Linked DNA regions of Bombyx mori. The protein of the gene in region 2 interacts with the protein of the main gene of each other region in a biochemical or structural test. Links are inferred from orthologs where the notes say so. Each region holds a gene or a part of one and is shown on either strand. Other genes may lie near its edges.

The links.
Region 1: of the proteins of ubiquitin-conjugating enzyme E2 (region 2) and Smt3, one has a biochemical effect on the other in vitro, tested with the Drosophila melanogaster proteins (2 studies listed by BioGRID). The link is inferred for Bombyx mori from reciprocal best matches to the Drosophila melanogaster genes lwr and Sumo.

The regions. Positions count from the first base shown.
Region 1 is NC_085129.1:12,053,823-12,071,091, reverse strand, and holds Smt3 (ubiquitin-like protein SMT3), read right to left. Parts: upstream 8,053-17,269; 5' UTR 7,927-8,052; coding exon 7,909-7,926; intron 7,765-7,908; coding exon 7,648-7,764; intron 7,055-7,647; coding exon 6,914-7,054; 3' UTR 6,498-6,913; downstream 1-6,497.
Region 2 is NC_085114.1:7,024,947-7,042,364, forward strand, and holds ubiquitin-conjugating enzyme E2, read left to right. Parts: upstream 1-8,064; 5' UTR 8,065-8,231; coding exon 8,232-8,297; intron 8,298-8,368; coding exon 8,369-8,452; intron 8,453-8,576; coding exon 8,577-8,839; intron 8,840-9,063; coding exon 9,064-9,130; 3' UTR 9,131-9,641; downstream 9,642-17,418. Other genes in the region: general transcription factor IIH subunit 2, read right to left, coding at 148-279, 1,556-1,731, 2,498-2,596, 2,968-3,130, 3,295-3,434, 4,075-4,276, 5,253-5,311; uncharacterized protein LOC101744580, read left to right, coding at 15,485-15,572, 15,651-15,784, 16,315-16,509, 17,148-17,237.

The DNA.
Region 1 (17,269 bases), on a different chromosome or scaffold from region 2:
TAGAAATACATATAATCGAACAAAACCCGGTTCGGTGTGTTGCCTTAATCACGATACCTTTTGCGTCATGTTATTTAATAAAGATGTTCCCAGTAATGTAACAATGGCAGGAGCCCTTTTATCCTACTGCCTAACGCCTCCAAGAGGTTAAGGACAGCTCTAATTAAAAGTAAATGTTCGAAATGAATCTTCACTAGTCCTGTGCAACTTAAGTATTAAATAGTAACTAGGTATGTATATAATGAAATGAAAATATTGACGAGCTACATTTATTCACGTTTTATCTAATTTAACATCCGAACATCATAAGACTGTGTTACAACCCTAACTAACTATCTATAGACACATTTATTGATTTAAACACAACATCAATATTATTTAATAATTATATTAGGTACATACTTAAGTTATGGCGGATATTTTTACGGATTTTGTTAAGTTGATGCTTGCATTTTTGAAAATAACGGATTAAAACGGGAAGACACACGTAAATTTCATATTTTTATCATAAGCTCGACCAATAAACAATGGTTAAAATTTGCATGGAATATTTTGACTGTTTTAGTCTAGTCTAATATGTTTCTAGCCATAAATGAACAATAATTTATATAAGCATTGAGCTATCAGGTTCTTAAATTTATTAGCTCAATGATTATAACAAACAAATTTATATTACAATATTTATTATCGTCTTATTAATGTTTCTTTCGTGCCTTTGACGGCATTCTTAACATTTCCATTATTTAAGGATTTCATTATTTGGTTCCACATTTAACAGTCACTATGAAAATATACATACATAATACACTTTAATTAAATCTATCTTAGACTCACATTTCACGCAAATTAAAAAAGAATCACTCCTTAGTAAATCTTTGCTGAGCACAAAAAAGAAAAGCACACATGGCCATTTGCATGTGAATCATCTATAAGTAAATGAACTAAAACAGTAATTATGTATTTGATTCATTTAGGGGAATATTAGAATGATCTTCAGATCTATACCTACCGTTTACTATTCGCGTCAGTAATATTATCTGCAACAAATGATTGGATAGGTACTGGTGGTTGAACTGGTGGTAGGACCTCTAGTGAGTCCGCACGGGTAGGAGGTACCACCACCCCACCTATTTCTGCCGTGAAGCCATAAAGCGTTTCGGTTTGGAGGGTGGGGCAACCTTTGTACTGTAAAAAAAGAAACCTTAGAACTCATATTTCAAGGTGGGTGACGGCATTTACGTTGTAGATGTCTATGGGCTCCGGTAACCACTTAACACCAATGGGTGGGTTGTGAGCTAATGCACCAATCTAAGCAATAAAAAAAAGGGGTCGTGAACTCGTCCACCCAACTATGTAATAAAAAAATATGTATGAAAACCTATTTTTATAAATTAAATCTTCTAAATGCTTACACTGCGTTTGGTATTAACATGTCGACATGTTTCAGTTTTCTATTACTATTTTCCAACAATATTATACTACGAGGCAAAGGGTACGTATTAGGTTCTTTGTTTTTTTTGCAATTGAGGCGAGGACGAAAGAATCCTTGTGTTAAGTGGTTGCCGGAGCTCATGGACATCGTTAATGCCACTAATACTTAAAAATCAAACGGATCCATAACAGAAATACTGACAGTTTCGCCGCAGAAGTATGCAGATGGTCTTTTCTACCCTTGCCGGTTCGCAAACGTCCTAAAACTAAAACCAGTGAATTATTAATAGTGGTCGATGTACTTAATAATTAAACAAAGATTGGCTATATAAATTTCGTATGTTATATTAGTAGACATTCAAATTTGTCACCATATTCGTAAACAGAAAGAGGGTACGGTATACCCACTTAGTTCATATTTAGGTATTTTATAAATGGCAGTGTTAGGATCTTGCGTTTTCGGTCTATCGATATATTAGACTACTATAGTTTTAGGTAGGTAAGTAGGTACATTACACGAGATGGCTTGAAGTTTGAAGGAATAAGTATCAAAGAAATTGATCGTATACTAAACTCTATGAAAAATGGCCGGACTGATTTGAAATAATGGGAAAAATATGTAAATCTTTAATATTAAATCATTGAATAAGTATTCTCTTTAGTAAATGTTTTTTTTAATGATTTAACTTTTCATATAGCTCAGATTTTTTAATTACAGTAGAACAGAGGAGCCCACGGCCGATCTGGTATTAAATTGTTAGCAGAGTCGTTTGTTTATTTATTGTAACATTCAAAACACCACTCACCTTGAGACGTGAGGTAGATGTCTCTTCAAATTGAGTAAGAGAGGCAAAAATAGGCAAGTTGGTGACACCGCTCATGCATATTTGCTTTTACTTTTAGGAATCGATTATTAGGTTAATAAAATAAAGTTACTACTGTATTTTTTGACTGAGCTGTAAACGGTACAAATATTATTAAAATGAATAGAGGCAGGCAGGAGAATCGACTGAATGTGGGTAAAGGCTTGGGTCTACGGGTACTTTATTTTGTATAGTAAGTTCTATGGGGAATGTTCTGACAAAACTATTTGAGCCGATCCCGTGATATCCACTCACACAACACGCTACTGGACTAAAGTACTTCCTTATTTCTTGGAGAGTTGCATTGTTTCAGAAAGCAATTCAAGACTTCAATGATGCTCAGTGGAATGAGCCCCTTTGGTGTGTTCCAAAAGCTACCACTTGTCCTTGTTCGAACAAGGTTTAGTTTTACTTGTTTTAGTAATAAGTGCCTTAGCTGTGACTCTGGCATTGTTGATGTCCACGAGCGGCGATGACTACTCATCATCAATTAGGCTGTGGGTAAACTGGAGAAATATTAGTATGTATCTAATGAAATGACAGTTTTTTTACGCTTTCTTATTTGAGCAGAATTTTAGATGGTTAATTAAGATTTGATACAGTGAATTATTTGTACGTTACAAAAATTAGTAGTTGAAAAAGTTTTACAAGATTTTAACATAATTATTATAGCCGTAAATATGCATGCGTTTAGATCATTCAAATCTAGAATGAGAATACACTAGTTAGTATTCAGTGCCTACGACACGAGTACAAACACTATAATTTAATTGGAATCTTAGATAAAAGAGGTCTTACTACGAGATTACGATAGAGTATAATTATTAAATGATAAGTAGGTAAGTAAATAGATTTATTATGTTTTTTTTATGAGTATGGTAAAGGAGCACGGCGGGCCGGTCGTGCGCCAGTCGCGGGTTGTCAGAAGTTGCTGTCAAAGACACCCATTGATCTGGAAATTTCTTCGTCGCGTAGGCAGCAATCCAGAAATTCGTCCAATGTTAGCACACCATCGCGATTCAGATCCATTTTCTGTAACGTAAAACGTTTTTTATGAAAGATTTGAAATAGGTAATAAAGTGTTCTTCCAATTTTACAACAACGATTGATCAGAAACGATAAATTTTAACAAACATTATATGAGTTGGTTACATATACCCATTGTTTTTTTTTTAATATTCACTGAATCAACATGCAGGCAGGTTGTAGAGTGCTTAAATATACTTGTAGCATTACCTTATTAGTAACTTATTGCTTAAAAATATAATAAGAAATAATATTCACCTGGAATAGTCTTTCAACTTTATCTCTAACTACGTCGTCATCGACGATGGGTTCAACGATCTTGCCCATGAGATCGTATATCGCTGAAACAATTTCTGTCATCTCTTCTTTGGTAATGTAACCGTCGCCGTTAATATCATATAAAGAGAAAGTCCATCGCAGCTTTTCTTCCAAAGTTCCCCTCGACAGGATCGATAATCCAGTCACAAACTCCTGCAATTAACACAGATTTGATTAGAACTTTTTTAATTATCTTGTTTCAAGCTGTCTACTAAGTAGAACTCTGCTTTAGGTATGTATTTATTAATATTTATTAACATTGTGTTTATTAGTGTTCATGTATACGGGAATACAAACATGTTAATATATTTCCTTCTAATAGTTAATATATACACGTTTTTATTATTTTTATTGCTTAGTTTGTTGGACGAGCTCACAGCCCACGTGGTGTTAAGTGATTACTGGAGCCCATAGACATCTACCACATAAATGCCACCACGCACCTTGAGATACAAGTTCTAAGGTCTCAGTATAGTTACAACGGCTGCCTCACCCTTCAAACCGAAACGCAACGTGGTTCTAGTTCGGCATCATTTGTTTCTCACCTCAAAACTTAACAATCCACTTCTGTCTTGGTCCAATGTGTTGAATACATAGTGCGCGTATTGGGCGGTATTAGCTGAAAAGAAGATCATCATTAAAATTAGATTTGTAATCTAAGGTTGGTGATTATTGACAGAGGACTTTGTTTATAAAAATATAACTTTTATAAAAAAAATGTAAATCCAACCAAGGACTCTCTCTGTCCACCTGCTGTTAACTGGCTATTGGAGGCCATGGACACCATAGCCAAAATGCTGCTTATCTGATTTTCATTTTGAGATAAGATTAAAACCATGGTACAGTAGCTATTCATACTTTGAAACCGGAATCATGTCGCGGCAGAAATAGGCAAGAAGATGGAATCCGTGCGGGCGTGCAACATGCCCTACCTAGGTAATTCGCAAGTAGGGACTAGGGGAGAAAAAAGTTGAGAATAATATGAATATGGGTGGATGATAAGGAAGCAGTCATTCAGGGAAGCCAAGGTTAAATAGGTACCTATACCTACGTATTTTCCGATTATTAGTTAATATTTTTATGATTAGGCACAAGATCCACTGACCAGAAATAACAAGAACACAATTTGGATTGCGAATAAAAATGTTTACGTTCATTTATGTTGTTATGTTATGTATGTTGATAGAACTCAGTGTATGATGTAAAATAAATGTACCCACTGACAAAGCTAATGCGCGATTCGATAGTATTTCTACGATACACAAAACTCCTAATACCTACCTAAGCTGAGGTAAATGTTAAAAAATCGGTTGAACAATTATGTAACAATTGTAATGCTACAGTTAATATAGTACTTAGGTACTACGTATAAGAATACTATAATAGATACATAATATATGTATTCTTGATTTATTTTATCTGGGCGCCTGATAAATTAACAGATCATTTTTTTTCTGTACAGAAAATAGACTGACTGCAATTCTTGATTTATTTTATCTGGGCGCCTGATAAATTAACAGATCATTTTTTTCTGTACAGAAAATAGACTGACTGCAATATTATTACGTACCTACCAATGAAAGTAGAATAGAATAACTAACAATGATATGGAGTTTATTTTTCAAAATTATTTAGTTTTTCGTTTTAAGTATAGACTATAGGTACAATATGATTTCTTCATTGAGTTAGATTAGGCTGACAGTGTGATAAATAGTACATTGTTTCGCATTTACCCTCCTTGGCAATAATAAAGCTGCGGTCGGCAAAATATCAGAATAGAAATTAATTGGAGTCAGGTTACTAAATAAGGTAAGCTAAGGAGCTAGCTGTCACAACGGAACTATGCTGGAGAAGTAATGTCGAGATTAAATTTTTTTTTATTATTTTTTGTTAGACTATTATTCATAATTAAATCTACCTGTCCTGGTGAAACTGGAAAGGCCTCCGGGCCACCAGTAATACTTCATTAAAAAAAAAAAAAATCTAGATCAGGCGGCAGTATTCCGCGACCATTTGTCTTGTTTAATTTTTTTTATTAATTTCATGAAGGTATGCTTACGTGGTGACACATCACATGTATACTATTTCCTTGATTTAAATATAATTCTTTCAAATTATTTTACTATAACATAAACATGAAACACTTCTTTGAGATCGATCGACCAAAATATTTCACATAAACTGCATTTTGTAGTAGTTAAGTTTTTTCGTGAGGGCACAAAAGAAGCCGCTTCGACTAATCATGAAAAGATACAGGTAGTTAAAACGACTTTTACGTGTCTTATGTGGCCACGAAAACTGTAAAGTATAGGAAACGTCGGAAAAAATGTAACCATAATGCATAAAATGAAATATTGAAAGTAGTTTTAATTATATCTACGACTTGTGAAAGCAAATAGGCGACACAGGCTTCGGAACTGTTTCTGCTGCCGTATTACATGTGAGCACATTCCCAGCGGCACCCTTCTATCGTGCAGCAATTTTGTTTCGATTAAAAAGGTACGATGCAGTTTTTTAAATAAAATTTACCGATTGCGGCTACATGACACTCCAGTAAATTCATAATACCAACTGGGCAGATTAGACCGGCTTTTCATTTTAAATGCACTTATGTAAATTATGAAGTCATCATTGCTGGTGACTCATTCATACCTATTATTCATGATGATTAAATAGGTTTTTTTTAAACGATTTTTATCTAGTCGCATTTGCTGTATTGGTGTTTATGTGATGTAAGCAGATTGCATTGGAACGTTTTACACGAGACGGGGCAGCAGGCATGACCACATGCTGATCCAGCTTGTGATAAACGAGTTAAAAGATTCAGCAATAAAGGAAAAAATAAATGAAACAGAAGAATAATACATATTACATTTATTTTGTTTCAGATATCGTTGGTTACAGAACTGATGTCGAAATGGACATAGGCCCAATAAATTAGATACCATAATAGGCTAGGTTTGCATTTGCTTTATTACTGCAGCACTACAACAGTCTTGCCTTCGTAGACGTGTCAACTAAACATATCACAATGGAATTGTTGAAGTTACCTACAGCATTTGGTATACTTATAATTTACCTTACCACAAGTTATTTGAGACGCATAATGCTTTGCGTAGCTCGGCTATGCTATTATGTGTCACAAAATTACTTCCTAACACTTTTACAGATACAAATGATGTTTCTTTAAAATTAACTTAAGGTTAGAGCTTGAGACGGGTACACCTCATTGATTTTGACCCATTGGAGATGGTCAATCCTTAAGATTATTAAATTTACACTAGGGACACTCCTCCGGTCTGCTGTTGGTAAACCTCTATTGTGTCGCCCTCTTCCATCTCAAGTGATGTTGGAGTGTCATTCTCATTTATTGGTTGCCCATCAAATCTGAATCGCACTACCTGCATTGATAGACCCTGAAAAACAAAATGATTATTTGTGTAAGACGTCACATAAAATCAGCATTGTTGTTCTTACTACTTAATAAACTAATATCAATGTACGCTTTAACCAATAGATATGAAATAAAAAGTCCGTTATGATTTTGCTATTGAGAATGTGTTTAAATGGGAAAAGACAAAACAGTTCTTGTTACTAATTTTAGGTTAATGTAACATCTATTGACAATATTTTCTTTTATCAATGTAAATATTTGGAAAAGTTAGTTCCTTGTCGATTTTCATTAACAAGACAAAATTTATTTTAATGCAATTTAAATCTTGAGGTATCCGTCGCTAGTCGAATTTCGATCATTGGGTGAACGAAGTTTATAAAAAATAAACGAAAAATCCAATTGACATGATATATAATATTAAGTATTAATTATGATGGGCATCTTATTTGTAATAGTTTACGATTTGAAAATAATTGTAAGTAAATCGATTCACAGAAAACAGGTAGTATTGGTTTTAGTTTAAAAAAACCGTCGTCTTTGTCTAAATTATAAATCGATTTTACTCAAGATGTAGGTTAAGTAGGTACTTCAATAATAAATATGTAATTTACTTACTGCTCTATCACAATAAGCATTCATCAATTTCCTGAGAGGTGTGTGTTTCTTTATTTTGAATTGTACAATTGCGTTATCTTGACCTAATACTTTCAGATTAATGTGTTCGTTTTCTCCCTGAAAAATAAGTTAGCAATTCAATAAGTTATGCCGTGAAAGAGATTTAGTTGTAATTTGAAGATATAACCACACTTTAAGATGTCGCCATGTCGGTATCGAATGTTTTGTTTTATACACTGATAATACGCAATGCACACATACCTTCTTTTCATCAGCCATTTTGAGATTAATGTGGTTCTAGAAACTATTAATACAAAACTGTGAATTGACAAACTGATTTGGTATCTGTTTTCACAAACGAACGCGTAAATGACAGCTTGTGCGATGGCGTGGTAATGGCGTCCGGTCGTAGCTTGGCGGAAAAGGTACAGTGCTGCCAACATTTCACGGTGCAAATGGCGCGCTTCTGCGCAATGAGAGCGTCGAAATGGACTTATAAGCTGCTTGTCGGAATTAAAAGATATCAGAATATCTAGGATTATAAAGGATTGTTATAAAAAAAATATTTAATTTTCAAGTTTCGTCTACAATCCTGTTCTTGTTGTTCCTATTGATTCATAGAAGCATTTTACAGTTTTATTTCTGTAACTAGATTATTTCAATAATAGTACATTAATAATTTCAATACTTTATACTAAACGTAGCTTAAAATCTAGTTAAAAAGCCAATTAATCAATATAACTGCATGTACCAACCTTTCAACAAAAGCTGTTTCCGTTGATAGTGTTGTATCTCTCGATAGATTTTAACGGAAATCGCTAGGGAGGGGAAAAGTCGGTAATTACGTTCCGTTACACGCTTTTTTTATATTCTAAACAGCCAAGATTAAACATCAAATACACATATATTGGTAATATATTGGTTAGTCAAATTATTACCTCTGACTATGACGAAAAAGCATGGGGTAAAATTTGATTATGATTCTTCGAAGTTGTATGTTTCATTATTTCAGTGTAGGAACAAAAAGGGACCAGTGTGCTTAGTGCCAGTTTCTTAACGTTCTCGATAGCGTAAAAGTTAATTCAAATTTGTATGGAATTGGAGCTTTTGCCTACGTTTGCAGCTAGAGGCGCTGTTCCAACTGCATACAAATTGGTGTTAACTTTTACGCTATCGAGAACGTTAAAAAACTCGCACTAAGCACACTGGATCCAAGATTATTATTATACTTGCTGAACTTGGAGAAAAGTTCGATGTAAAACTTAGCTCATCACATCAGCTCACTGATTTTCTCAATTATTTCAGCGGCTCGCGATTCCGATCCGGTGGTTGAGGCACATACGAAGTAGCTACCATCGACCTCTTTGGTCTTCTTCGGGAGCGCTTGAGCAGTTTGATACAAACTCCACCCTTCCTGTTTGAACCTGAATTCGTCCACCCGCCAAAAATAGGGTAACTAACAACGTACTCTCTATTTCCACGATTCAAAGAACAGGAAAACAGATTATACTGATTGTATATCTCATATAGCATTAATGCGGAACTAACTTTTTTTATTACTTAGGTGGGTGGATGAGATCACGGCCCACCTGATGTTAAGTGGTCACCGGGGCTCATAGATATCTACAATGTAAATGCCACCACCTACCTTGAGATATGGGTTCTAAGGTTTCAGTTTTACAGTACAACGGCTGCTCCACCCTTCAAAGCGAAATTACTGCTTCATGGCAGAAATAGGCAGAGTGATGGTATCCGTGCGGACTCACAGGACGTCCTACTACCAGTAATTACGCAAATTATTATTTTTCGGGTTTGATTTTTAATACACGCGGAAGTCAATCGTGAGCATTTGTTAAGTACGAATTTCATTACAAAAATTGATACCTGCCAGCGGGATTCGAACATCGTTACACCAGCCTACCACCACAGCGTTACTACCACCACATACGAATCCACCAGACGTCTTATTCTTTAGGCCACAACGATTTCATAAGCTCCATAGCTCTTATTAAGTTAATTCAAAAGTTTGATGTCAGGTAAAGTAATATTAAACGAGATTTTAAAGGTCATCGTCAGGTATCGTTAGAGTCTAAGATCACTCAGATTTTAGGGTTGGACTGTCTATAATTTCCCCTTGGCTTACGACCTATTCCAACTGGTAACAAAGCCTACTCATATTTATATGTCTATCATCAGGGAGTTCTGAAAACGGTATCACGATTATGAGACAGTAAGAACGTGGCTCTCATGTACCGTCGTACGTTGGTAGTATATACTATGACAAAACCTTTGTCTAAAGTACTAACCGGCCCATAGATACAGCCCACTGAGTTTCTCGCCGGATCTTCTCAGTGGGTCGTGATTCCGATCCGGTGGTAGATTCTGCGAAGCACTGCTCCTGCTAGGGCTAGTGTTAGCAAATTCTCTCAGATTGAGTCCGTGAGTTCACGTACGCGTTCGGGCGTAGCTAGAATAGCCTCTTATGTTACTAGCGAATAGGTAGGAGTACCAACAGAAATTGTACGAAGTTTAACACAAAGGGATAAAAGACGCAGGAGGGTAGGGAGAGAAAAAAAGAGACAAAAATACCAACATTTTTGTTAGTAAAAGGAAACTTTACCACCAAATTAAATTAATCTTTATAAATTGTGATATCATTACAATTGTTTTCGCTTTATAAGATTTCAGTGTCTTAATAAAAAAAAAAAGCTTACAAACAACCAAACGGTTGCTCATTTACATTTCAACACGTGAGTACGGCTCTCGTTGCTGTTAATAAAATGGACATTTTTCAAACATGTGGTTTTTATGGGCAACGATTGTTGTTCCCGTGCAATGTTTGTGTTGCGCGTGCAGATTTGTAGACCATCGTCGTACTGGGTTCGCAGCGATAACAACCGGGCCAGTTGCGAATAATTGCTAAACCGACGAATAATTCTTTTTGGTACAGATTTAAAATATGTACGGACGTGATTCGTTTTCCGAAGCATGTCGAATAATAATTCGTTCGTTTTAGAGGGTTTTTGAGATTTACGGCATAATTTGGTTTTGGTCTTGTTCCTACAGTTGAAATAATAAGATACTACCCTACCATAAATAGAAAAATAAAAGTATTTACTACATTTAATGAAATGCCTGGTTCATTAAAAACGAAATGTTGCTGTCAAGTTTACCGTTCGTTTTTGAGTTACGAGGATAGGAACTTTACTAAAGTTCCGATCTTTTTTACATCAACTAAATTGTCAACTAAGTAGTCATTAAACTACTGATCGAAACACTCTAGCGACCCTGTTCGGTTTTTGTTATTACCAATATATGAAAATTATTATTTAAATTATATCAAGGTTTTTTTTTACACATGCTGATATATACATTTATTCTCAAAGACTCAGTCGTTGACTTTAACTTTTTTAGGAACACGACACTATTTTAGGAATACAAAAACCGAAATTCGCATATATTATTCGTACTATTTTCATTTTCCGTAACCCTCACATCTATAAGTAAGAAGCTAATCATAGCCCATGGAGATCTTAAATGGTTACCGGAGTCCATAGACAGCATTAGCATAAATACGGCCACTCACCTTGAGAAATGATTTCTAAGTCTCAGTTCTATAAGTATAATGGCTGCTCCACCCTTCAAACCGTAAAGCATCACTGCTTCGCAGCAGAAATAGGGTGGTAGGATCTACCCGTGCAGGCTTACAAGACGCCCAACTAATAGTAAATATAGACACGATTTTGACATATGATTTGTAGAGCATATAAATCGTACCATACTGAATACGAAGAACTCACACCATCCCACTTTTTATATTATCGTCCAGGTCGGACCCTCACAATTTCCAATACGCCTCTAAAACACTGATATAGTCATTAAGGAGGTAGAGGTTGAGTTAGCTTCCCTACAATCATAAAGTTTTTTATTGCTTAGGTAGGTGAATGAGCTCACGGCCCACCTGATGTTAAGTGGTTACCTGAACCCACAGACATCTACAACATAAATGCCGCCACGTACCTTGAGATAAATAGTTCTAAGTTCACCGTTTTTATAGTACAACGGCTGTCCCACCCTTTAAGCCGAAACGCATTACTGCTTCACGGCAGAAATATAATGCTTTTCAAATAAGAATGTGCATGGACCTGCGCCATATTGTGACGTCATAGCTGTCAAATCGAAAAAAATAGTTGAAGTCAGTAAAAAAAGGTCGGAATTTTTAAATATTTATTCATAATCCAAATTTTCGAGTTTGCCGATTCCACTGATCCCACTGCTTGAGAAATTATGATCATCATCTTCGCCCATCCATAGATTATACGGCCCGACAGTGTTGCAGCCTTAATTTTTATATAGGTGTATTTTTTAAATATAATCTAAATTTATTTTTAATTTACCTCGACCAGTACTCAACATTTCAAGGAAATTATATAGGTGTGTATGGTTCATTAAAACAAACATATTAATTATCAATTGCGGTAGGCAGCAGCTTGGCTCTGCCCCTGGCATTGCTGAAGTCCATGGGCGACGGTAACCACTCACCATCAGGTGGGCCGTATGCTCGTCTGCCTACAAGAGCAATAAAAAAAAAATGTGTGCGTGTACTAGTGTACACACGTAAGAAGTGAAACTTGTTTATGGCCTTATTTTTCGAAAAATGATCTACATGCAACTTTCTAGAAATTGGTTAAATAAAGTTAAATTAGATAAAGTTTAAACAAAAGGATTTTATTATCATAGACATGAATACAAAAAAGTTAAATTAGATAAAGTTTAAACAAAAGGATTTTATTATCATAGACATGAATACAAAACAGATGGCGCGTAACGGAAAAAAGTGACGCGAAACCGAAAAATGTGACGGTAAATTTTTTTCCAACGCCGATAAGGAAGTTTCACTTCAATAAATAAATAAATAATTAGTCCACATAATTATGCAGAAAATTCACTAAACATAAGATTTTTTTTGTTCCTATTCAAATATTTTTACAGCTCAAGGTCATTGACGTGCACATTCTTATTTGAAACGCACTACAGGCAGTGTGGTGGTACCTATCCGCGCGAACTAACAACAAATCCTACCACTAGTTACAAAAAAAAAACTATCTACCATGTCTAGCTAGCTCCTAGATCTGCTCTTGCTCAGTATACATCTACCAGTCACTGCTTTAGCCTTCTTCGACGATGACGCGGTTGTTTTTATTCTAGTAGCAATAAGTCCTTTAACGTGACCAAACTTCCGATCGCTGGCCGAAACCAAAACTCATCACCGTCCTCGTCGAGAACTCGACGTGACATTTAGCCCATAGCATCAACATTTTGTGAATTAGGCGTGTCTGACTATAAAACCTCATTTTGTATCTTCTGTCAAATGGCCGAATAAGCTTATGGCATGATAAGTTGCTGTCGAAGCTTATACATAAAAATGTGATCTACGTATCTGGTAATTTATATATATGATTTATATAATATGTCTGGCGTAAAGAACGTTTGTAAATTAAATTTAACCGATTTAAAAAATGGGGAGGCTATTAACGCGATAGTATTTTTTTATTATGTTGTTTTTTACCTCAGAACGTTTTTATTGGTGAACCGATACTGATCATTAGTTTTTAATCAAATTAAAATCAATCAAATTCTGGTGATTTTCATGTGTTTTTTGAGTTATCTTTAATAATGCATATTTAATTGAGTTCGACTGTGTTGATGCCAATCTTATTTCATTTTGTTGATGTCAGTTTTGTTTTTTCTTATTATTTTGTATTATCATATTTTAGCGTTTAAGGTATACTTATTACTTAACCCTTATTCAAGACAATTAAATAGTGAATACAGAGAAGAAATAAAATAAGCTTGCTTCCAAATAGAATTTCGAAGCCATTATCCTCAGTATTTCGATGTATTCCGGTGCATTGAGCGCTCACTATTATGCGCCGATGCAGGTAAAATATCGGCCAGAAAATAAAACCCTACGTTGCCCTGAATACGCGGCTATGTAAATACACAATACGTTATTGGAAAATAACGAGAAGACGTAATATATTTTTAACGATCCAGTATTAAAAACCTTCTGGAATCGTGATAATGATGCGGCTTCTCTCCTATACCTAATGTATCAGACTCAATATGAATTACAATGAGGATTTCAGATATAGATACTATCTACTGCATTAGCATTGACTATTTTAATTGCTGTGCAGTAAATAATAAGGATGGATGATAGTATTTAAATTTGAAATCTAACAGAAACGATGTACTTTTTTACTAGGTATAGTAAGAAGTAGACATCACCTGTCACCCTAAGATGTGGAGTCGAAGTGTCAATTGCATAGATATAAGGCTTATGAATACCAAAAACCAGAATGGACTGTTACGCGGCAAAAAATAAGTAGGTTTGATAGATAAACTTTCGCCTTCGAGCTCACTGTACGCCTCCTACCAGTATTTTTTTTCGGTCATGAGGAAATTGCTGGTCTTCCGCCTATGGGTTGAGTGTAGGTAGAGCATGTCGGAGTTGAATCGACTAAAACCTCCTATCGCTTGACGGTTCAAGGAACAGAACATGGGGACACTCTTGGAGGCGCTCGAAGCGGAACCCATTGGGGAGCCCGTATAGGCTGGTGTGCGGCAAGCTGCACCCATGACCGGGTCGGCCGCTGGCTGTGAGCGGCAGGAGTTTTTGGTGAGGTTCAACTCCCACATACCCCATCCGCCGGTCGAGGATCCGGTGATTTTCCGCGGTACAAAAAAAAAAATTGCACAACAACTCGCGTCAGAACCTCGCTTAGAACACCACTAGTGTGTTACTGTATTTTTAAGATGCATATTGTGAAGATGAGCACATTAACAAGTATAAAGCTTTCTTTTTAATAATCTAGTTGGAAATCAAATATTTCTGTCGACAACCCTGCTCGGCTTTCCGGAGCCTACTTAACTTGATGGGGTTATATTATTATGATTATGTGATGCGTTTTTCATGTCCCCATTTCATTCTTTGAGTACGGTCGGCATATTTTATTAGCTTTGTACCCGGGGACACCTTTGACCTTACCTGGTTTATATTTGGTTAAGACAATAGGATTAATTGAATTGGATTTTAGAACAATTTTGAGACTAATACAGAATATTGATTAACCAATGCATTTTAGAACAATTTTGACTCTAATATATAATAGAAGATTGTATATTAATTAACCAATGTGTTATTGCAACTTGTAGAACGTGTGATTTAAAAAGAAACTAAAACATTTATTTCAGTACAGAAACTTAAATATACCAAAAAAAATCTCATTTTCAGTAAGTCAGCCGTTAGTCTAAGATTGTCTCATTGAAGGTAACCAGTTGTGATGCCTAGTCTTCGATAATTGCTTAAAACTGGACCAATATTGTTCTAGTTTGCCAATAAAGAATCTACCAGTAATGTAATTTTGAAGGGAAAGTCACACGAATCTATGATAAATCTGTTGATAACAAGATCATTTTATATTGATGTCCTATTTGTAACTTACAGATTAAAGTTTTAATTATGAGAAATTTTATAATCCTCCTCCATGAGTCGCATTCCTCATGTCTGAGAGTCGTGGCCATCTCCTCCCATTGCGTAATTACTGTTGGTAGGACATCTTGTGAGTCCGCACGGATAGGTACCACCACCCTGCCTATTTCTACCGTGAAGCAGTATTGCGTTTCGGTTTGAAGGGTGGAGCAGCCGTTGCAACTATACTGAGACCTTAGAACTTATATCTCAAGGTGGGTGGCGCATTTACGTTGTAGATGTTTATGGGTTTCAGTAACCACATAACACAACAAAAAAATCCTTCTCTGGATGACGTTTCGCCATCTTCCTCTATTCTCGGCGGTGTGTATGCCATTTTATAATACTTTGTAACAAAAGGTTCCACGAGTAAAACTAAGTTGCAATACTAATACTGCTAAGAGAATATTAAATGTTCCCTTTTGGATTGGCCGCTTATATAACTATCATAGTGATGACATGTAAATTATCACTTACCTGTAGGCTTATGTCGTAATTTATGTTAATCGAATGTTATAGGGAAAGGGTTGCTTTGTAAGGATTATAGAATAAATGAAACACCATGAGAACTTTATTTATAATAAATTGCATAAAAGACTGCATGCGATTTGTAACTGCTTCATATTTCGACTTAAATGAGTTTATAAAGATAACACGCAATGTTAGTATAAATATTGAAAGGCTTATAATATTAAATTGCTCTGAGGAACTGTTTGAGATGATATCATCATCTCGTTTATACCATCGCATCGCCCGCCATTGGAGTAGAGAGTTCATCCATACTACCTGGAGCCACTGCGTTCATACACAGTGCGTTTCCAGAGATCTTTTTTGCCACGTACCATCGGACTTTGGAATGAGCTCCCCTCCACAGTGTTTTCCTAGCGCTATGATATATCCTTCTTCAAACGAAGGCTTGCGGAGAGTATTAAAGGGTAGGTAGCGGCTTGGCTCTACCCCTAGCATTGCTGACGTCCATGAGAGACGATAATCACTCTCCATCAGGTGGGCCGTACGGTCGTCTGCCTCTACGGCAATAAAAAAATAAAAAATAAAGATTACTGGGAACCGCGTTTGGCAATTACTGCAAAAATACTCCAACAAATTGCCTTTTAAGAGAAAATATACCTCATTGGTCTCCGAGAATTTTAGATCCAGATAGTAATTATAAGTATTCAAATTGCTGCTCCTAACTACAGCTTATACTATCGACAACTTTTCAACCGACACCTTATTTTCAAATCAATCAACCAAAGATAACTCTCCTGTAGTCAGACAGGTGACCATTGTTCCATTTTAATACTCACCACTACATACCAAAATAAAGCGGAAAATCTTTGTTTTAAATTGTTTTTTGCTTAAATTAGTGCATTTTTTACTATTGGAGTTTACTCCTTAAGAATCGATTTACATATATAGGCCCGGGGTATGAAAATTATGGGGACCAAAATCGTACTAGAGAGTATAGCATGTCACACGAAATGCGTTATGCGCCTGATTGGCTCCTGATTGCGTGATGCGTGCGCGCGCCAATCAGGAGCCAACGCGCGGCCGCGTTATCGCAGGTGACGCCGGGCTGCTGCGCCGGCAGTCCGCCACAAAGCCTCGTACTGATCGCGCGTTTCTCTCATTATTGTATTTTCATATATTTGTTAGTCGTTTGTTTTGTGTCTCGTTAATTTGTTAATAATCTGTAGTGTATCGTGTTGTCGTAATATAGAACTATTTCTCGTATTGTTTCGTTTAATTTACCGACATCGTTTTGCTTGTGGCCGGACGCCGTTCGGGTTCGATTCCTGAACGTATCAACTGTTAGTGGGTTGATACCCGAATATAACCCGCTACAAATCATTTATTAATAAAGCTTATTAAATATAAACAATTCCTTCTATCAGTGAATGGACAACTTATATATTAATTGTAAAAGTGAATTATATAGACTTACTTAATTACCGCATCCACGTGTTCCGCAACTCCCGGATCATTCTCACTAGAATACGTAACTTCCATATTTTACTGTATTCAACTGACACAAATTTATATTTATATCCAGTAAACTCCAGTCGTGCGTCGGAGCGGACACACACA
Region 2 (17,418 bases):
GGCGAGAAACTCAGTGGGCTGTGTCTGAAGGTTAATTTACCGGTGACCGGGCAGGCCCATGATCTTCTGTGCTCATCTACAGCAATATAAGACTTTATCTCGTAAAACAAATATCGTTTGAAGAAAGGGGTCGTTTGACAGATGTACCTTGCAAGATGTGGTGCTGATGCGAGTGTCAGGCCGCAGGTGCGACACTGAGCTGGCAACGAACAATACTTGGAGCGGCACTGCGGACACAGGTGACCCTCGCCGCCTATACCTTCGCCTTCCTCCAAATGACTGAACAAAAATAAGAGTTTAAAAAAAATAAAAACGATGCGCGTGCAACTTGGTGCACGTGAATGAAGTGAAGCTTCTTATTCCATGAGTAATATTGTGTTTTTTTTTCATTTCTCATCCTTAAATCAGATTGCTCTTGTAATAAGGAATGCTGTGTATAAGAGATGCGACATCTTCATCATTACATATATAGGTAAGGATATACGTATATAGGTATTTTTTTTAAATACTTCATTAAAATATTGGACGCTACTCGTTGGTAACGCCCTGGCTGTAGCAGGTATACAACGCGCAAGCGTTCGAGTGCCACGGATTCACTCTCGCTCTGTCTCTTTCTATTCCATGGTAGCGTTAAAAGTTTAACGCAAACTTGTTGGAAGTCGCATTAGAAGTTTCACTTCAAAACGTAAAGGAATAACACCGTGTAATAAAAATCAAACCCGCAAAATTATAATTTGCGTAATTACTGATGGTAGGACCTCTTGTGGGTTCGCACGGGTAGGTCCCACCACGCTGCCTATTTCTGCCGTGAAGCAGTAATGCGTTTCGGTTTCAAGGGTGGGGCAGCCGTTGTAACTACACTGAGACCTTAAAGCTCATATCTCAAGGTGGGTAGCGGCATTTACGTTGTAAATGACTATGGACTCCGGTAACCACTTAACACCAGGTGGGCTGTGAGCCACACATCTATAAAAAAAATAATAATAATAGTAATAATAAGTCCCTAAAAGCCTCTCAAAACATCTCGAGAGGCTTGGTCTCAACGAAAAGTCGGTGGTGGCCCAAATGCAAAAAGCAGTCTTGCTCGACAATGCCCGGATAGTTTGCCGGTTTCTCTCCCAATAGTCCCTAACGCTCCGGCCAATTGTTGCCCACCTCGCCGGTGTGTCTTGCCGTCTTCCCAGGCGAGGCAGTGTTTAATACACATAATAATAATAACAATAACACTCATTCCTTACCATCTTCACCATAGCCTTAAATTAATCACTCTCAAACAAAATCTCTAATTAACCCTCCAAAAAGCCGCTATTTTAAACACCTGCCGAATCGTGAGGAAGTTTATGCAGGTTGACGATAACACACCAACATTAACATCAAGCAATTAGCACTTGGCTTACGCCCGTGCTACCATGAAATTACCGGCTCCGCCGAGAAAAGTGGTCGATAAAAATAATAACACTACAGACAAACGCATTTCATGAAAGTTTAGATTTACGCTAAGCGTTTCTTTCGTTCTTTCTCAAGTTTTAAAATTTAAGCAAGACACGGAACTCACCACATACAAACAGTAATAGGTGGATCGACATTAGCCCCTGGGTCGGCTTGTTCCTCGAGCGGCGTTGAATGCGGGAAGCCCATCTTCACCAGGCCCGCGTCCAACGAGCGGGCGCGGGGCGGCGGCGACGTGTACTCTAGTAGCAGTGACTGGTAGTGACAATCGTCTAATACCACCTAAAAACATATTATGTACATCGTTAGCAAATTGGCTTACTAACAAAAAAAAAATTAAGAAGTAAATAAAAGAACTATGTATGTACTTTTGTTTTTAAACCTGAGTTTAACAGTCATGCTTTAATACCTTTTATATTGTACACTTTTCCCCTCTTATGCATCGTATTTCTCTCTGCTAATGGTTTGCTGGAAGAAAACTCATGAATGAGTTAAGCTCGCCTTTGTAGGTACATAGTATTTAGACATTCTTTTTAATCTGTTTTTATTGTATTTTCTCTTTTGTGTACAATAAGTATAAATAAAATAAATAAATACTTATTAACAAAAATATACATTTATTATTTTAAGAAAAAATATTTTTTTTTTATATTATGTACATACATAATTATTTTAGAAAAATGGTAAATAAAATATTGAGGTTATTCAATTGGTCTCGCATAATACTCTTCTACTGGAATCTCGATAAACGCACCTCCACATGCACGTACACAGAACAACAACCGCAGTCTCACAGAAAGAAATAAAGAGAAAGAGTAAAGTAGCATGGAGGACTTTTTTTCTTGCGTGATAATTTCTACAAGGCATATTCTATCACAACATCAATAACAAATTCCGTAACTATAACATTTTATATCAAATAGTGGGACAGAAAAAGAGTCCTTAGCGGCTAGTTCAAAAATAAAAGCAGTCTTAAATAAGCTCTTTTTAATAACAATGCTTACATACAAAAGCGAAACTGCGAAATTATCAATAGAGAATAGCTTACACCATAATCTCCATTAGTGTCTTGACACATTTTTTTGCAAATCCGCACTTCAGCAGCTAGACCAATAACAGAACATCTAATTCCATCTGTTTTTAGTGTCTACAAAAAGATAAAAATAATTAAATATCTAATCTAATAAATAAATATTATCTCACAGTATAGTTTATTTTAGGTTATTGAAACAAACAAAACTTTCATTGAAATACCAAGTTTTGGATTTAAAATGCTAACACAACATTATTAGTATTACTTGCCATATAAAGTGGAGAAGTCTGTCTCAATTGATCGTCAATGGCGCAGGTCACCAGTGGACATCAGCAATGCAAAGAACTTGTTAAAGCTAAACAAAAACTGAGCTTTATGGAGTGTCGTGGAACCATGTTAAATATCTTTACGGATTTCTATTTTAACAAATCTGTGGTGATCAACAAAAGTAAAATAAGGCATTTCAATAATCAAAACTGTCTTACTTCTATGGTAGTGTTTATATCACTTGGATCGCAAGTTGTAAGGGATGCGAAAAGCACTAGTAATTCTCTTGACGCGTGTCCAGGCAGAGGCCTTAGGATTCGCCCAGCCAGCTCTAGCGTATTTTGTAATGATGGCTCTCCAGTCAGCGGAGTGTTGGATAAACTGTTTAGAGAACTTTTTGTTTTATTTTTTCAAATAACTAAAAGCTTTTGTTTATATGACATATTTAATTGATTTTTCTATCATTTTTCGATAAAACTATTAATGTCAAGTTAATAAAAGTAATATATTGAAATTAATAAATACAACAATAATTTAATACTTGCCCTTGTATGGCTTTAATGTGTTTCCGGACATTTCCAGATAGGTCAGTTATTTTCTCAGCTCTCTTATTCTTCATTGCTATTAAACCAAGCTGACTGAGAGGATTCTGGTCAAAAAACTCTTCAACAAATTTCTCGAGCAACTAGAAATATACACAGATTAAACTTATTAAATAAAATTGTATTTATAGCTTCATTAGAACATGATTTCTTCTCACTAATGGGGGTACACCCTACGTCTCGCAAACATTTGTGACCATGGAGCTGTTATATCATGGCCTATGCTGTCTATCTGTGAAGAATATTAACTATGCCCATGATGAAGTTCAAACACTGTTAAATATTATTATAGTATTTACAAATTGCATGCAAAAAAAATCAGCCAGCTGACAAAACAAAGGCATAGATGGTATACAAGTAATTATAGTTATATAGATATAGAAATATGACAGAGAAACAAAATCAATTGGTTAAACACTGAAGGACTGCTTTGTAACTTTTCTGAGTAAACTACTCCAGTTGTCCGTATTGCAAAAAAGAATGGAGACATTCATCTCTATTGAAATGAACTGAATACAATTAATCAAGCTACAGAGTTAGCCAATGGCCACTGCATATGAAGTGTTAGCCATGATATCTGGATGTCAACTTCCAACCTTTATGCTTCTACTCAAATGGTAGTTACAATACAAAGACACCAGGTATATCTAATAAACTTTAAACTACTTAATAGCATACAGCTCAGCCTCTAGCAGTTTATGAAGGTAAAAGATATTTCTTTACCTTCAATGTGCACAGAAACCGTGAAGGTTTCAAATCTTGGGAGCTCATAGCCTCAGAACAATCTATGGCTAAAAGTAAATGCCTCATCATGCCAAGTCTGACTGGACCTTTACGAGGAGCAGCTGCTTTACGTGCTGCTTTCTGGGCAAATTCAGCCACCAGGCTTTCAACCAACCCATCTTCATCTTCTTTAATAGCCTCCCTACACATAAATATTTAATTTATGATTCAATAGACACATAACATATATGTTAAAAACTGTAAAACTAAAGAGTAATCAGAGTAAATTAAAGTATTATGAAGAATTTTCAAAAACAAACTTGTAATTACACTTTATTTTTATAACATATATTCATTATTTTTTAGAATATGGTGAAATCATAAGGTTAAAGTTAAAGATTTCCAGTAATTTGCTGTGTGTAGGCCTCATTGAATTTGTAATGGTGGCCCAAGATGATCGCTCGTCGTGTTTGTTAATATCTGAACAGGTTTTATTTAGTTTATCTGTAGTTTAGCAAAATAAAAAATAGGCTCTCTGTATAACTGTCATTACTGGTGGTAGGACCTCTTGAGAGTCCGCGCGGGTAGGTACCACCAACCTGCTTATTTCTGCCGTGAAGCAGTAATGCGTTTCGGCTTGAAGGGTGGGGCAGCCTAACTATACCTGAAATCTTAGAAGTTATGTCTCAAGGTGGTTGGCGCATTTACGTCGATATCTATGGGCTCCAGTAACCACTTAACATCAGATGGGCTGTGAGCTCGTCCACCCATCTAAGCAATAAAAAAAACTTAATAATAATAGACTACTTTGCAATCGCATTTGCCTGTTACCACATTACAGTATCTATCTATCATCAGCCCGCAGACGGCGACTGCTAGATATAAGCTAAGACCCGCCAAAACGACCAGTCCTGCACTGCTAAGATTTTGCAGATTCCAGCCACATTCAACAATACAGACAATAGTATGTTCTATTCAATAGTATGCATGAAAGACATTAACGAGTCTTTCAGGAAAAGGTAAAAAAATAATTTAAATTGATTCATTAACGTTAACTGTTTCTATATTTGATTTTTAATAAAATGGAAGTTCGCTTTGAAAGGTTAGCCTTGTGTATTTACAAACAAATAAACGTAAATAAATAAACATAATAACAATACAACTATAAATTTTCTAACCAAGTTTTTTCATAACCAGTTTCCCATCGATACTCTTTAGGGTCATCTTCATCAGCCATTATTAATTATTTACTAAAATTTAAAGTTTAAAATCAACTTTTATTTGCATTTCAAGGTTTATCAATCAAGTGCTAGGTGCTAGGTATGTATGTTTTTTAAGGGGTTTTATGACCTGGTAACTAAGACCTTTAAGTCATGTCTTATTTTAATTGAAATTCTTATTTTTATGAAAAATGTTAATATGGAGTGAATGAAATGAAATGAAGATAATTAATTTGAGACATTAATCAACTGGGATGAAATTAAATGAAATGTAATCTCAGTAAAATGGTGGTCATTTATTGAGATTTTTTCAGTGGACTTTTTGGAGGATCCCGAGAAGTTACATCCAGCGACTTTGTTCTATTTTCCCACATTTGTGCACTTTCACAGATATTAAACAGTTAATAAACCACCATTATTACACATTTCAACCCGAAGAAACACTAAATAGACCAAATAAAACAAATCACACAACTTCAGTCCTCGCGTTCCAGCTAAAAAGTCTAGGTATGTATGTCCATGGAGTTCCAATTACGAAGTCCCATTTAACAGATATCAAATACTAGTAAATACCGCTTTATTCGATACTCGACGATATTGATCTTCGATTACTTTAACGAACAAATTAAAATCGTATTGACAGAAAAAGGATTAGCATCCAATAATAAAACTTTGTTTTTTAAATTTAGTTAGATAATATTACATGATATTTTTATCAAGATGGAACTTATTCATCATCAATAGCCGAAATCGATATTTCTATACAGGCGTTTTTTTTTATCCTACCTAAGCTGATAGCCTTGAGATGCTATTTCAGCGTCGCCTTAGCTAGTAGGTGAGCTCATGGGGCTCAAGCCTGATGACGTTGCTAATACGAACCCTAGCAAGAGCCGTGCTTCGCAGAATCTACCGCCGGATCGGAAACGCGACCCACTGAGAAGATCCGGCGAGAAACTCAGTGGGCTGATCTAAGGTTTAATTTACTCGTCGAGCCCTTCGTCGCAAGCGACGGGTTCGACGAGAACGGTGACCGGTGCTTGAGTAAAAGCACCGTTAGTGGATCGGGAAAATCCGAAATGACGTGTTTGGGGCGACGTCGACTGCTTTCCATTCTTTCCGCAGGATCGGGAATGTAGTTACCGGCGGCCACGATGAGAGGGTTCTCGTGTCGTGCCGCTTTATCGAAGTGGCGCATCGACGCCGACTGCAAATACTTATTGATGGACTCTAAGGCCAGGTCGTCATGGAGGTCGACGTTCCTGACGAACCACGGGGCTCCGACGGGTATCCCGCAAAAACGGGATTGAATAACTTGGAATGATTTTAAGCGAGTGCGGGCCGCGTGAGCGAACACTACACTTGCATGACGGGGCGTATGCAAGTTTTGTAGAGCGTCACCTTATTTCTAAGGGACATTTTACTTCGCCTGCATATCATCGAGTAGAGGCGTCCTAGTGTGAAGGCGGGGGCGGAATGTCACCCTCGACAGAAGGATACCTAGTCGGGAGTGGGATTCAGGCGATAAAAACACAAGGTATTTATTATAATTTGGTTATCTATGATGGTATCGATATGTGTGTCTCTGTTCCAATCAGCGAAAAACTAATTTTTTGTTCGTAAAACCTAACCTTCCTAATTCGCGGCAGTAGCACTATCACAAGCTTTTTGCAACAATGACAGCATTTTGTTTGCAGTAAATGGTGGGCTCAGTGGTGGATTTACACTAGGGGCAGTCGCGTAGTCGGGGCAAGTGCCCAGTGCGGCAATTTTTTAGGGCGGCAAAATTTTGGAAGTAAAATTTTTGAAATTAATTCTATTAATTAATCATTTTCTGTTTAATTGATAATACAAAAAATTGAATTCATCCATTATTTGTGAATTATAATTTTGGCACTTTAGGTAAAAATTCATAATCAAAATTATTTAGTCAATTTATTTCCTTGAACATTTAAAATAATAATCGATTTTTCCATTTTCTGGACTTAAAGAAATTTAATTTTTTTTTTCATTTAATATTTATGAGTCACCCTTAGTGCAAAATTTATAATTGTTAGAAAAAAAACAAATATTTATTTATGTTTTTGGAATATATAACATATGATAAAGTTTCTGCAAGAAATTACTTATTTAATTTTGAAAAAAATAGTTATAAACTATAATTTTTGGTAAAATTCCAGTATTGGGGCGGATTTTTTGCCCAGGAGCGGAGTCTAAATCCGGCCCTAAGTGGGTCGATATTTTTACGAGCCGCAATCTAAAATAAAGGTTTACGTGTTAATATAGCAACAGATAAAATATTAAAATAGGTAAAAATAAATTATTAAATACATTTATTTAAATCCTTACCTTTAATTTGCGCCCAAATAGATTCTATGGCATTGCATTGACAATAGTAGGGTGGAAGGCGCATTACATTGTGTCCGGCTTCCTTAGCCATTTCGTCCAATACCTATTTTGGTCTTACAATTTTCGTTAACACGGAGTCATTCCTAAGTCGCAAAAGTAATTTTAATTGTGGTATCTTCATTTGCAAAAAAAGATAAAAGAGAGATTAATTGCATTTTAAAAACAGCTCATAAATATTTGTGTAATTTTTTTGAAACATTTAATTAGACTGAATTTCGGCTATCGTCGTAATTAAGACCCGTTTTTACTGCTAAAATTAAATTAATATTAAATGTCAACAGCAACACTATTAACTTCCTACAGCAGAAAAGAAAAAAAAGTGAATCGATTATTTTCATTTTTTATCTGTAGTCTATACTACAATTTTGTCGACCGCTCTGAAATTAAGGGACGCTATTTCGCGCTTTTTCATTTATTTTTATTGTAATTTCGTTCTAGTTTTAGCTCGATTATAAGTAAAATCTATCGCCCAACATTAAGAATAGCCCTTGATTGAAGCTCGGCTCATAAATCGAGTTATTTTTGTAGAAAATGTCAGGGATAGCAAGTGCACGTTTAGCTGAAGAACGGAAAGCTTGGCGTAAGGACCATCCCTTTGTAAGTTTTTGTTTGTTGAAAACACATTGATTTATGTTTTCGTAAATAAATAAGCTATTCATCTATTTCAGGGTTTTGTCGCGAGGCCTATGAAGAATCCAGATGGTTCATTGAATTTAATGACTTGGGAATGTGCGATACCTGGTAAAAAGGGGGTTAGTATTTCTATATCGTGAAAACTTCTTGTTTCTTATTGATGCAGTTTTAAAGTTATTGAGTTTAAGCATAGTAAATTACGGTAGTAGAAGTTCTAAAACTATAACCGGTTTTTCTTTTTAGACTCCATGGGAAGGTGGGCTGTATAAACTACGTATGATCTTCAAAGATGATTATCCATCAAGTCCTCCAAAATGCAAATTTGAACCACCACTGTTCCACCCCAATGTGTATCCATCAGGTACGGTGTGCTTGTCACTGCTTGATGAAGAAAAAGATTGGCGTCCAGCAATCACAATAAAGCAAATTTTGTTGGGTATTCAAGATCTTCTCAATGAGCCTAACGTAAAAGATCCAGCGCAAGCTGAAGCCTACACAATTTATTGGTAAGTTAAACATAAACATTTTCAATACCCGTATTGCATTTAAAGAACTGTTATGTTTTATAATGTTTAATTTTGTAAAAATTGAATTTTTTTGTAATATATGTATTTGTTATATTACTGAAAATATATCACGAAACTATCCACATATTGTGATACTAATATTTAATTACTGTGACCTACAAAACTTGTATGCCTCAATATTAAATAAAATTTTATTGTTACAGTCAAAATCGGCTAGAGTATGACAAGCGAGTAAGAGCGCAGGCACGTGCAATGGCTGCTGCTGAGTAAATATCAGAATGGGACAATGGAGCGTTAATGAGCTAAGCCATTGCCTAAAAAGCAGTATAAATGTGAAGACAGGAGATTAAAACAGCAACACTACGCTATTTTGGAGATTGTGCTATAACATTATCTTCATGGTATTTTCCAGTTCCAAAAGTATTTAATCCACACAGTACGCAGTGATGGTTTAAACTATAGATTTAAGTAATTTTGAAGTAAATGCAAGTTTTTAATAACAGACCAAATCAACACTATGCTAATGTTAGTTATTTTAATTCTGGAAAATTTTGAAGCCATTATGAATTCATCATTTTATGGCTAACTTGTATTTATTTATTTGTTAAGTTAATAACAGAAATGTTAACAAGCAAAAAGCATCAAAGATTTTAATTACAACCGAATATACAAACATGTTGCTGTAATTCTCAAAATATACGGTTACATTTCGAATCTATGTTATTTTAAAATATTTTTGTATCTTATGTTAGACTTAATGAACAATAAATATTTAAATTCTACAATTTACTGTGTATTTTTAAGTTAAAATTTTTTCAGATTATTTTCACAATCATTCACTATTCAAAGTCAGCGCTTTCTAATCAGCCGTTCAGAGTAACTATTTGGAAAACAAATAATTCATAACTTTATTTATTTATCAAAATGGTTAGTTGACATCAGATATTTCATTTCACATGCTGATATTCATTAAAGTTGGGAGTTAAACAAATATTTGTTTTATTCCAGCTTAAACGCAATCATTATTTAGTTTGATGACAGATATAATTAAAAATTAGCTACAAAAACCTCCATCTAGTAGTGAATAGGCACCTCAAAATACAAAAGGTGAGAGACAGGCGAACTATACGATCACGACCCAACTAGTTTTAAGTAATAACTGAAACTATTTAATATGGTATTTTCTATTATTAGAACCCATTGAACTTGCCAAATAATGCCAGGACTAACTTAGAGATATGAGTTCGAAGACTTGATTTTGTTATACGAGTTTAAGGGACGCCCACCCCATAGATTATACACTTAATAACCCATTTTCAAATCAACAACCAATTAGTCCTTTTCCGCAATTTCGAATATGCGACGGTCCCTCAACATATCGCCGCGCACTAAAATGCAGTTTTCTAGACAGTGTGGGTCAACGAACTCGCAGCCTACCTGGTGTTAATTGGTCATCGGAGCCCATAGACATGAACATCGTAAATGCTACTACCCACTTTCAGACATGAGTACTGTCGTAAAAAGTACCCTTTGAATCGTAATGCATTATTGCTTCTCGGCAGAATTAGGCGGGGTGGTGGTATCTACCTGTGAGGGCTCACAAGACGCCCTACCCACAATCCACAAGTAATTACGCAAATTATATTTTTTGCGAGTTTGATATTATTATACGATGTTAATCCTCTTCATCGAGGAAGCCAATCGTGAACATTTTTGAAATAAGTTTTTCATCAGAAAAATTGGTACCGCATACGGTCGTATTATCCCGCAGGCCATGACGACTTTAAAATTATAAAAAATGACCAGCTATACGTAGCTGACGACATAGAGCCTGACAAATTATAATAAATACATAAAAAATTATGGTTGACGCTCGCCTAGTGCCCACCAGTCAAATACCTACAGTCCGCGCGCGAGCTCCGAGGATTCGTGGGCTGAGGAAGCGGGCGGGCGTGCACCGCGCCCGACCGTCGCTTCATACCCCGCACTCTCCCACTACTAGTGTCGACCTTAACATGAGAGTGCGCTTACTGACTCGTTGTTTTTAATTTTGCGATAGCAATGTTAATTACGTGTGTTTTTAGTATAGTCTTACACTTATAAGTATTGTTGTTTGCAAGCTATATAATTTGATGAGAAAGGAATGGCGAGCACTAGCATAATAACCATGTCTTAGTATTAGAGGAATATTACTAGCAAAAGGATGGCTTAATGGAGGATGTTGTCGAATCATTTATTATTGAAGTACGTGAGGAGAGTGACATCAAGAGGAGAGTACATCAAATTCTTCAACTACTGATTAATCTGATTGCGAGAGTAATTAATAAGATTTCACGTTCATTTTGTTCAATAAGTATCAGTTCATTAAATTAAATTCATACGTGATCAGTTGTTTTTTTTTATTTTATTTCAAGTACATAATACCCTCATAAAACTATTTTATAATTTACACTCGCACGGAGGCTTAAGATGTGTTAGTATCGATAGCGCAATATCGACTAATTACAACACTAGCTCATTACGTCAACATTCCTTAAAAATCCTCGGAGCTCGCGCGCGGACTGTATTTTGTTAAATTTTATGTCATGTTTTTACCGAAATATATTTTATTATTTTAATATATTTACATAGTAAATTTGTTGTAATTAATGTGCATTGTAATTGTTTCTGTAATAAGCAATTATATTGACTTTTTTACACAAAAAGTAACAAAATTTTGTTTATACTGTGGAACGGAACGTGAAATGACGCATTTATTTATGGCGTCTTTTTATCTGTCTCTGTAATAAACTAACTTTTTATATAAATTTTAAATATAAAACAGTAAAATTGCTCGTGTTTTGGAAATAAAACTGCAAACATATTCGAAAAATATCGAAAACCGAATCAGAGCACCCACATTCCACCTGGTCTTGTCTGCCCTACCCCTAGAGTGTATATAAAAAACCGGAGACGCGGAGGGATAATGGTGCAGGGGGTAAACTCTTACCCCCCTCCCTCGCCCCACCCCCACCCCGACCCAAAAATCGACGGACCCAAAAGGAAAGTTTAAGCCTATTTTCAAATATAAGTAAATTTAAACAAGATTTTTTGCTGAAGTGAAAACACCGCCATGACAACGTCGATGACAGTATACTGTACTGTAAACATAGACCTATATAGTAGGGACACGACATATTGTTCTATACGTACAATTGCTTATATAAATAGCACCCATTTTGAAGGCACATATATAAACATATATCTATCTCGTTTTTACTCAGCACTTTAACTCGCAGGAAAACAATATAACAGTATTTCAGTGCGTACATAAAATGAAACATGAATATACGTAAATATCTCCGTCACCGTCTAATGAGGCCGAAAATCCGCCATGTTTAGCGCGCCAAATGTCATTGTCACGTCAGTTCGGCCGTCTGTTTTGGGTTGTACATTATTTATTGACTTTGATATCGATTTAATATGATTGATTATATAAAATTTCATAATTTATTATGCTTAAAACATACAAAAATAATAATTAAAACGTATTTTATAGGATCTCAAGAAAGTCGATGCCCTAAAACTATTATCTATATGTATTTAAATTCATTATGGAGCCCTCATCCGAAAAATCCATTTTTCGGTCGGAATCTATTGATCATGACACTAATCATAAATACCACTTTAAAATATGTCATCAAAACATATTTAGACATTCTGTTTAGATATTTCGGGAAAAAGGCTACCGACAAAATCTCTTCGGAACTATTTAAATAAAATAGTTTTATTCCGCAGTGAGTAAAACACTATTGTAAATTTGTTAAATATTTAATAATTAAATGATTTTAGAGAGGAAGTCACAAGGAATGACGTTTTTAATTAATGAATAAATGTTCTGTAGGTGTTTTTTTTTTCACGCGGTCCCTTGATAAGTTTAAAATTTGAATCACTCTTAAGCGAAAGTGATTCAAATGGTGCGGCGCACCTTCCTTGGGGTGCGCTGCGGTAGTATGTTACAGACTTTAGAGTCAGCAAAACAATTAAAATAGATTGTAATAGTCTAAGAAAAACACGTACTTAAAATACGATAACATTTAGCATGCTAGAAATGGGCTGATGGCTTTGAACTACGCCATATCTTTATGTTTTGCGACAAACGACAATTTTATAAAATCAGTGTAGCAACTTTTAAAAATCATTATATCGTTTACTTGGCAAATTCGAAGGACGAACTTGTCTTTGATTTGACCCATCTAAATCATATCATATTTGCACATAACAATACACCTACTTACTTCCCATTAAAGTATAAATTCTACAAATAAGTAATACTCAACAATATTTAAAATAAAATGAGCCAAGATCGTTTATCGATAAAACCTGATAACATTGAAATCTTTTGTACAGCACTAAAGCCGCCATGTTTTGTGGCCAGATGACGTCACACTGGCGCGAATTTTTGGTTGACGTTTCATTTCCATAGGTTTCCTACTTCATTGACTGTAAAGGAACGGCTTGGCAGTATACTAATTTGACGTCACACTTTACAGTGCTCGCAGTGCAAATCGGAACATACCAGAAGTGTAACAGCTTATGGCGCTGTTTTTAAAATCTTTCCACTTGTTACTATGGCGCCATCTTAATTTGCTGCCCTTCAGTGGACACTTTTTAATATACTGAGATGGTTCTCCTTGCCTCTACCCTCCATAATTCAACAACATAATACCTCATTTTATCCAAAAAAAAAATATCCAAAAAATAAAAAATAAATGTTTGGGGTGGACAACCCTTATCACTTAGGTGTATGAAAAATAGATAGTAGATGATTCTCAGACCTACTGAGCATACTATTGATACACAAATAAAACCAAAAAACATGGCTGGCAAGCTACGATTGATACACAAATAAAACCAACAAAACATGGCTGAAAAATGTATAGTGAGTAAGACAGGAGACCGGCTTCGTCCTCATCCCTACTACGTGATGTTTGCTGGATGAGTGTTGAACAAAACACAAAGTTGTGAACAATTTTTTTTGTAAAGATGATTACATTATTTGTTTACACCTTGGCCTATCATGGCCTTGGTCTTCGACACATTTTATCAAGGTACCGACATGTTATGGCTGCAGGTTTATTCCAGATTCGTCTAATAATCCGCTGCATTTTGTAACAAGTATGAACGCTGAAGAAATAAAAATATTATTACGTTGTCCATTTTTCTGCCAAAGATGTGATTATGCTTTATACCACGGGCTCCCAAACTTATTTCGTCTATTGCCCACTTTGAGAATAAATTATTTTTTAGCGCCCCCATTTTATCACCTACTTATAGACCACTATAGCGAGAGCTCAGTCGGTATCTAAGAGTCCTCCTAGATAAAATTACAAATCGCCTCCCAAGCTTCTACACAGTGCCCCCAAAATTTAAAAAAAAAAATAACTACAAAACTTCTTTACTGTGATTTTAAAACAAAGTTGTGGGCAAATGGTAGGTAACGTAACATTTTGCTGTAAATGTTAACATTATTTTTATAGACACGTAAAATGATGATTATGTCACCCTATTGAAATGCATAAAAGTTGACGAAATTGATTTGGTGTTTTAATTGACGTAATTGATAGACGGTAACAAAATAAGAATATTTCTGCGCCTTTGGTATATTTCTACACATTCCTCAACTTTATTACAAATTAAACCTCACAATAAACCTCATATTCAAAATCTTTAGACTCCAATCTACAAATGAAAACAAAAAAAATAGTTTAACATTTTTATTTTAGTACATTATCCTATTGATGATGCAATTAGTTTGAGAAATGCTTGAGAAATGTTTAAGAAATTATTTTGAGAAATGATACATCAAACTTAATTGAAAATAGATCTAGGGTCAAATGAATCTAGAAAAGTCGGTCAATATTGACGGCTAAATTATCATGTCGGTGTTGCTGGTCGCCTTTGTGTGAACTTGAAGTGCGTTCTGTCGTGACAATTTTTTCTGATCTATTTCATTGGTTGAAATATACGGTTTTATCTTGCTATTGGTGTTTAAGAGATACCATTTGCAAAGAAAACGTGCGTTGTCGGCTAATCACTAGATGGCGTAGCGTATGTGTCGGTGAAAGGGTTTTTTTGGTCATTGAATTTTCAATTCTTGGTGTGATTTGTAGCATTTCGCGTTGCATGTGAAGATTATTTTTGTGAAATTGTTTTGGTAGGTAGGTAATGTTGTGACATTTCATTAAATAAAAAGTAAAAGGTTACAAAAATATTGTAATAAGTGTGTACGCGATTAAAATATTTATTTTTTCATTGGTTAAATTTTGTGTAAATCGAAACATAATCATCTACCCAAAACGATAAGTGGTGAAGAAATGAAAACTAGATAAATCAAATACAATAATTTGTCCAATACAAAAGTGTCTGTCTGTGTTTTTAGAACTAGTGAAGAATAGTAAAAATGAACTATGTGACAATATTAAACTAGACATTCAATGTTCTGTTAAAACTTGAAAGCGTGGCTTTTAATCTATTATGAATGAGTTGGCGGGAATTACTATTTACCGGCAAGCAAGGTTATGATGTAAGGAAAAGCTACTAAAAGATAAGATGAAATAAGTTTTGATTTGCAGATTTTAAAAAATGACATCTATGGAAGAGAGTGAAACTCCTGAAGAGGTGATACCTGGAAATCCAGATGAACTTGCCAAAAATCCTACTGCACTTAAAGGTGAGATAAATACAGATTATGAAGTTTATGTTCATTTCAAACACAAAACTAATTTAAATAATGCTAAAACTTTTGTAGATGCTCATGAACAAATGGCAGCACTAGATATTCTGGTCTGTGGGCAGTGTCACTCTGCATTCCATTTTGTAGAAGAGTTTAAAGAACATAAAGAAGGTACCAATTGTTCAGGAAAGTCCCCAGTAAGGGATAGTGTGAGTATACAACTGTATTTTAAATTTTTCAATTGAAAACCTAACACTACTACAATACACTGCTTAATATTGTAACTAAAATGTTGTAAGTATTATTGACATAACTACAGATACAAAAGATCATCTTACTTAATCCCCACTAAAAAGTAAAAATAAACACATATCTTAAAACTGTATTAGCTATTACACCTCTATGAAGTCTGATGAGAAATCCATTTACCTAGTGCACATGGTAAAGTGTTTATCTACCTTACTACTTAGGTCTGTTATTGAGAGACATCTGTCTCAGATTGGATGGTTTATTAGAGTATCTTTCTTGTAAAAAAAATCCAACCTAAATAGAGGTGAGTTGAAGAGGAGTTAAGTTGCAGACAATGGCCTATTTATCATTATCATAAATATTTTCTATAAAATATGTATGTACAAAACATTTTCTACAAAATATGTATGATAAGTAATTGAAAACAATATTCCTTGCTAAACCTAATTGTTTAAATTATATCATTAGTCAATAAACTAAACTTCCACAGAATGAAAGTAAGGCACAGGTGTGGGCATTCCTGTTATGGAAATGTTCTTCTGCTCGAGAAGGCTCCGCTGTTAGCACAGACAACAGCTGGAAGCTGTATCAGCAGTGGTGCCGGATGCCAGAAGCACAACGTAATGCCTGGATCACAGCTGGACAGAATGTACAGTCACTATCTAAATATGCACATGCTAAAGTCGTAAGTCTGCTTTTTAATGTTCTGGTTTTTTTGTTGGTTAAGGCAGACAACCGAACGAATGGAAAGTGTTTACTGTCACTGTGATAAGATTTTTAGTTAGTTTACTTTAACATTAATTTAATATTGCCTTTGTTATATTATTTACATTTCAAAGTTTTCATCTTGTTTGACACACTATGTTGTTAACTTCTAAATTTGTCTAATAAAAACTTACTGAATAAGTAATCAGCAACATAAAAGTGAATTATTAAATCAAAGACATAATTCACATAAACATTGAATTTTGTTGGAAAGAAATTAACAAATTATGACATCAACATTCACTGTTCTACTTTCAATAAGTTTAAACACATTCATGTCACCTTGTCAGCCAATAATAAATATTATTTGGGATTAAATGTTTCTTGATACTAAATAAAATTATTATTTTTTTAAATATAGTAGGAAAATGTTCAATAATTAAGTAACTTTCCACATCATTTCGTTTTAAATGCAATTATTGAACACAACATAATATCACAACAATGTCTGAACACAAAATTCAGATAAAACAATAAAAATAAATGAAGTTGCTTGGAAATACATTAATATCTTAAAGATAAAAATAAATTTCAATAATCTGCATATATTTTTCACAGATGGAGTTGAAAGTAGAGGACCAACAGGTACCTGTAACACCTGGCCATGAAATAAAGAAACGAGGTAGACCAAAAAAAATACTCAAGCAGGTAAGTACACACTTCAATCTGATATAAAGATTACTATAAACACACACTAGTATATAATGTAAACTCTTGATAAGAAATATATACTTCGAAGTGATTTGACTTTTTCAGTTTATATCATTAACTATACATTGATGTAATACATAATTCTTTGAAAAAACCAAATGCCCTGATTGTGTGCAAC